Coturnix japonica: one gene and its partner. The protein of the gene in region 1 purifies or fractionates together with the protein of each later gene. This does not show direct contact. Links are inferred from orthologs where the notes say so. Each region holds a gene or a part of one and is shown on either strand. Other genes may lie near its edges.

Region 1 (3,237 bases):
TCCAAGAGCCACCTCCGACTGACCAACGCACACCGGTGGGAGCAAAGCAGCACTCAGCCACAGACCATGAGCTTCTGTCTTAGTACAGTTCTGGTATGGAACACAGAACTGGAAAAGAAAGGACACTGAAAGCAGCTTTGGACAAGTCAGGTGCTCTTTTCCTTTACAAGTCACTTTCTTTACTACAGAGTATCTGCTTTACGCTCACAATTTCTCACACCTCTTGTGCTCTTACCCGCTTCAAAATTTAGTCTGAGAGAGTAATAATTAGGAGGTTAAAGCCGGATTGATCCTATAAATAACTTCCTAGATTGCAGCTTTTCAGCGTTCCCCTTTTTGCCTGTGAAACTGCAGGGATCTCGGCACAACGCGCTCTCCATCCTCAGAACACCCAACCCTTTTGCTGGGGACCAGTGCTGCCTGCTCTTCTCACAAGTCCTTTTTAGCACACAGCCAGGGCCAAGGCAAGCTGCTATCAGTGAGGTTACACCCTCCCATCCTCATTCCACAACTGAGTTCAGAACAAAAAGGAGAAGACAGTCAAAGAAAGCAACACAAACCGTGTACTTTAGTGGACCTCTGGCTTTTCTGAGCAGCGAGAGCTCTCTAAGACTGAGTCTCAGCAAATAGGGGAGTTACAGGCACACCAGTGCAAAGCAATTGCACACACATCAGCAGTCAGCCTCTCCATACTCATCTTAAACACATGAATTTACTAGGAGAGCAGATGTTCTCCTCAGAGTAGGTTGATTTATTAGCAAGGTACCACCTTTACATTCAGGAGGAAATTCAGACTGGTTCACAGGAACAAGCTGCTAAACGATGAAAGAAGACAACAGCCACAAGCCAAGTTCCAGACAGAAGCACCGCGAGCTTTGTTTTCATTTTCCCACAGCACGAACAATCCTTCTCAGTGCAGCATTCACACCTTTATCACGTGGTTTTAGCTCTATCAATATCTGATAGCTGTACACAACTAGAAGTGTTCTCATATAAAAGGACTAAAGAACAGAAGGAAGGTCTCTCAGTGCCAGCTGTAGTCAACCGCATCTCTCACATGGACACACGTAACCCCACTCACTTCTATGGTGCTCAGAACACTTGCTCCAACAACCACAGGGCAGCTTCAAGTACATTTTCCAATTCATCTCATGCCGTATTATTTTGTTGTGATGTAGTTTTTAATTAAAAAAACCTACCAACGTTTGGTTTGTTTTTAAAGGGACGGGTCAGGAGAAGAGCACAGGGGTGGCAGCAGAGAATTAATTAAGAGATTATACAGACTGATAGCCAGTACGACTTTTTCTTCTTCCAATGATATAAGATATAAAGACAAGAATGATAAGGAAGCCAAGTGCCATGCCAACTGCGATTGGGATAAGAAAGTTGAGGTCAGAATCAGCAAAGCATTCTTCAGCTGCAGAAAGAACAAGAAAACAAACAAAAAACAAGAAAGGGAAGTGAGAACAAATTAGTAAAGGAAACCGAGCATCAGAAACCAAGTAAAGCAAGGAGCAAAGACACTTAACGTTTCCAAGAACATCGTATTACATACGTAATATATTTGAAGTCAAACCAGCATTGAGCAGATTCTTTAAACATGTACTACCCATGTCATTTGCGATTTCTGCACACTGGCCACTCACAACTCAGTTAACAGCAATAAAGTGACATAAAACACAGGCTGGCACAGTGCTGCCTTACCAAAAGACTCCCCAGACCCCCCAGCCACCGCCATTTCTCAAGGCTTTGGACACACAGACGGCTAACAGGCATCAAACCAACTCCTGAGGAATCCAAAGGACAGCCCAGGGACATGTGTTGAAAGCATGGAATGGAAAACACCGAGGGACCATCTTTTGGGTGAGTAACTTTATTTATTTTCAATACAAATACAAGAAAAGTGTTATCGATGTTGGCAGAGAATGATGCAGGTCTGACCGAAACCAACCAAAGAGAACAAAGAGGAGACAGCTGTAATACTACAATAGCTTTCAATACACCAGCTGGAAAGGATGCAATGAACCCCTGAGTGACGCAATCACTCAGAGCAAGCATTAGTGACCAACACTGGGAACTCATTCTGAACTCCATGGTGCACCATGAGCACTCACAGAAGCAGGGCTTAGCATCTGCACCCATTTCAAGACAGAGCAGAGCTCTGTGCCAAGAAGAAACACTCCATAAGATGAGATACCATGTCAGCACGCTGCTCCAGCACTGCAAAGGTGGCAAAGGTGATTGGCTTTCTGCTTTTACAGCAGGTTGTTGCTTTGCTTTTTTGCTTGTGTTTATATTAGAACAGAGCAAGCACCACACTTTGCCAAAAGTTATCAGCTGTTAAGTGAGTATTTAAGCTATCTGAGCATCTGAATCAGCCTCGGTGATGGGAAGTCACCAGCACCACAGCTTTCCAAGAAAGGCTGTGTAAGGCCTTTTGTTCAGAGGTAGGAAAGCAAGAGCACATGGAAACTCAGCACCTAAGAACACTGAGCTCCGGCAAAGCTGAAGGCACCTACTGCCAAGCTGAGCAATGCTCCAAAGTGGGGAAAAAGGAACAAAATGTGTATCTCACACCATGAGCTAAGTGAAGTCATTCTGACTGCTGAAGAAAGTATTGAAGCACCTCAAAAGAGGAAGCTTCAATTGTGCTATGAGTTCAGGCACCTCAGATCACTGGAGATCAACATCTGCAATTTAATTACTACATGCTGGATAATGGGCTATTACTACAAAAGAACTTGCTAGGGATGAAAGGTGCCCAGCAGACAGCAAAAGAAATTCCCTTTTTGTCTTCTTTAAAGGAAGGCAATTGCTGTAACACGTATTACAATACAGCACTGTTGCAAGACACTAACTAACAGTACAAAAAGGTTTAATGTTTGATACCAAGAACATCCCATCTTTCACCTCTCTTTAAGTTTGCCACTGCTGTTGGCTGACACATATCCATGTGTTGCTGCTGCACAAGCGTTAGGAGCTTCTGAGAAGCATCTGACACAACTGGACAATGCACACCTCCACATTTAGGCCGTACGAACGGGGGGCGAATTTTAGCCATTTCATTGAACAGATGTTCAAAATAACCAGAAATTTTGGCTACCAAGATTTTTGGGCCTGATGTGAAAAGTCACCTTCCCTTTTAATTACAATTACGAGATGCAACTAATAGCCCTTTTTCTTGTTAGCTTTGTTTTATTTTCTTTTTCCATTGGAGGAATGCAGGCATTCATTCAC
Region 2 (3,823 bases), about 5.6 Mb from region 1:
AAGTTGGACTAATTCCTGGGTTTTTGTGTGGTGGTGAATGGATGTGAAAAAGAATCCAGGTGTTATTTCTTATCTTGAGGTGGAAAAGCACAGACAAAGCAAGCTTTTGTACTTAACAGTGTGAAGGTCTTGCTGGGATTGGTAGACAGAAGCCGAGGGAGTCCTGTCTAGTAGTAAGTTTATTCTTTGAAAGCTGAGGATATTTATTGCTTATGATCCTGTGGAAACTTCACAGGAAGAACAGGTGAAGAGCTGTGATCCTAAGAGGAAACTTGAATATTACTTTCATGGCATAATGCCGTTAATACAAACCTGGAAATGGTGTGCTTTTAAAGCCAGAGAATACTCAAGACCAGCAAACTTAGAAATTCTGTAATTGTAAATGACAAAAATTCTATCATCAGTCCCACGCAAAGCATTCTGTACTGGAATTTCAGAAATCAATTTCAGCCTCAAAGCTGTTTGAACAGTATGCTCTGGCCTTCTATTTTTAGAAGCAGATGTTTTGTGTGCTTCCTAGTAATATCAACAAATCTCCCTCTGTCAAGCAAATCTGGGGAAGTCTGTTCCTGCTGTTCTGCTGAGTAGATGGCTAAAATTTCCCATAGAAACTCAATATTTAGCCGCACTTGTTTCACCTACCTGAATAACACTGATACTATCAGATGGCATTTCAGATCTGCATTATGAAGGTAGACACTGCTGTTGATGGTAAAGAACTACACTTTACACTTTTTAATCTACACGCTTTCCAATAAATATTGGGACTGTTTCTTTCTACTGCTGTAAACAGTTGTAGTGAAATGTCTGTCACCCTTATGCTAGAGAACTGCTAGAAACCTTTCAGTTCCCGTTTCTTTCTTCTCTCCTGCAAGAGGAGAGAAATAGAGGGTAAAGGAAGTTCTGCTCAGGTCTGTATAAACATGCTGTTTTCCAGGTTAAGTCTTGCTGCTTTTGCTGAACATGTTCCAGGGCAAGTCAGTAACTGGAACAAAATGGAGAGGTATAATTTTCTGTCAGTGGAGTACAGCAATATATTTGCCCATGAAACGGTGCTATCTCTTGCTGGAAAAGAAGCGTGCTGATGGATGGGGAAAGCTAGCTTGTTTTGTTTGGTTTTTTCCCCTTTCCCTCTCAATTCTACAAATGTGTATGAACTCTGGAATGTGGAGACATCAGGTTAGCTTATGATGGATAGCCAACAAATGCAGCAAGTATCCTGGAGAAGTTAACTCATTATAGTATTGCAAGGTAGAGCCATAATGCTTTAATTGTTTAATATATATTAGCCATAAAATTATTTGTGTGATACTTGGTGTAGTTCTTCTCCTTTCTATACCCAGAAGTGGTGCTAGGCAGCAAGCAGTTCCTTCAGTTGTGCTTGCCTAGTCACATTGAATTCTGGAGTGTCCTTATGCTGGTGTGTGTTGGGGCTGGGGTTCTGAATGGCTTTGCATTTCCCAAGCCTTGCTTTTCTCAAGGCTTTTGGCTTCTGTCAGAGACTCCAGAGCAGTAGAAGAGACAGACCAGAAATAATACCTTTATATTAACCCTTTCTCTTTTCTGTCTGTGTACATAAAGAAAACTGAGCTTCTTGAATTCTACTCTATCAGAGTGTGTGTGTGTGTGCATATATATATATATATATATATGTATATATACACATACATACACACACACTATAATTACCTTGACCTGGGATAGAAAACTTGGTGTTGGACTTCCTCAGAATGTAAGCTAAACATCCTCATTCAATGGCACTCTTAATGCAAGCTGTCTCCTCATTTGTGTCAACACATAGAATAGAGCCGCAATGCTGAAACATGACAGCTGGTATCGCACCACTTAATGTAGCCATTTTGTGTACTAGAATACATTTCTTACACTTAGAGTGAGTTGACCTAGCTGCATTGCAGATCTTAATGGCAAACCTAACAATAAGTGGACTAAACAGAGGTTAGATGGATTATTCTTAGCTCTGTAAGAAAAGGGGATGGTTACATTATAGCTTAAATGTTCTGTTGATAACTACCTTCTTAACTTATTTCCCATTTAGGATACTTATCATATCTCTGAGGTAACCTTGAATTTTAATTGCTTTTGAATTATACTCTTAAGACTAATGCAGATGCTTTTCCCCCACTGCTTTTTTCCTTCTGCATTTTACCCTGGCTTTCCTCTGTGATGTCATGTTGCTTTCTGATGATTGCATACAAGTTGTTCTTTTTCCACTTATTCTTTCTCTAGCCCCTCAGTCATGAACTCCATTCAGAATTCAAGTGAGCTGTGAGGGTGGTTCACCTCAGTAGTTAATTAGTGGCTCTAAAAGGCTGACTTCTGTGAACAAAGTTGCTTGAGAAATAACAAAAATAAGTTGAAGGGTGTGAAAGGGGTGGATGTGCACAAAGTGAAAAAACAAAACATTTTGTAGGGATTTCACATGCATATACCTCAGATAATCTGCACCAGAGACTCTGCCTTCTAGTTGCTTAGAAGATTGCATGTGCTGCACTGTTGATGCTGGAAGCTTGGAGAGAAGCCTACAAGCCATAAAAGCTTATGACGTAACTTCACTAGGCCAGTCATTCCGATAAACTTTGAACTAAGTGAAGAAACTGATAAGAATTACCCTTAGGGGTTTTTTATGCCATATTAGTAATTTACTGTGTAAGGTAGTAAGTTGCTGATTTGCTTTCTTTAATGTCAATCTGGAGATTGGATTTCAGAAGATTAATTATCACTATTGAAACATCAGATTTTTATTTATGGAAAGAAATGTGGACTGTCCTAGGGAGCAATTAATTGAATGAGGTTTAAAAAACAAAAACAAACAAACAAAAAAACCCCCACCTTTTATTGTGTGAATTATTTTCCCCTCAAAGTAAAGTTGGGGGGGGAGGGTAAGTGTCCAGAAGTCTGGTTAATTATCTTAGAGATTTGGGCAACAGTGAAATTGATTTGGGGGGAATACTGAAAATAGTTGTGATTCTCAACTCTGTTCAGCTCTATTCAAATCACATGTGACTGTGGTAAGATTATCTAATGTGTAAAGCTTATCTCAACTTTAGTGAAATTGATACAGAAAGTAATGTGTAATAAATCATGGCAATCTGTCTTTTTTTTGTATAGCTGACTGCTGACTTTGGGTTTTCTCCTTTTTGTTTCTCTTTCAGGTTGCTTTTGTTGTTTTAGCGTTTTTAGCAGCTATGTTTTGTTCTTACCCCAATCCAAATCAGGATAAATGCCCTGGAAACTATACTCACCCATTTAAAGTACAGACTGTCATAATAATTGCAAAGGTAATTCTATGGATTCTGCATGTGTTTTTTGAACGTTATGTCCACCACCACCACAGCAAAATCAGAAGCAGAGGCTATTTCTTAATATATCGATCAACAAGGCATCTCAAGAGGCTTCCACTGGTGATGCATTCTACAGGTGAAGTGAACTTTTTTTTTGTTTGTCCTGTAAAGCTTTATGTTCTGATGTAGTGAAAGACTGAACAATTGTATATATCATATTGTGAACTTAAAAATGAAAAAACCCACTTCACGAGTGTATGTAAAGGCTCCTTTATTCAGATTGGGTGTTCTGACTTGCTGGATGCATGTTGTAAAGAACTCTTTATGGTACAGAAGTGCTCAGAAGTTGAAGTAACAGATCTAGTGATTTGTGATTAGCTGCTAGTGATATTAATTTGCATACTGATTAATGCATCCAGAAAGCAAATACTAAGCATTTTCAAGCTTAGTATTTCAGTAGAAGTTTTAAAAAAAAAAAAAAGTAAAAACAGATGTTTCAACTATTGTTCAATAAATGTCTT

Evidence for each region.
Region 2: the proteins of LAMP2 (region 1) and TMEM192 purify together in Homo sapiens (affinity purification with western blotting; 5 studies listed by BioGRID and IntAct, with this or other methods). This does not show direct contact. The link is inferred for Coturnix japonica from reciprocal best matches to the Homo sapiens genes LAMP2 and TMEM192.

The regions. Positions count from the first base shown.
Region 1 is NC_029519.1:15,331,164-15,334,400, reverse strand, and holds the end of LAMP2 (lysosome-associated membrane glycoprotein 2), read right to left. Parts: exon of another isoform or gene 3,194-3,237; intron 1,418-3,193; coding exon 1,275-1,417; 3' UTR 731-1,274; downstream 1-730. UniProt on the Homo sapiens protein: Lysosomal membrane glycoprotein which plays an important role in lysosome biogenesis, lysosomal pH regulation and autophagy.
Region 2 is NC_029519.1:20,889,482-20,893,304, reverse strand, and holds part of TMEM192 (transmembrane protein 192), read left to right. Parts: intron 1-3,173; coding exon 3,174-3,438; intron 3,439-3,823.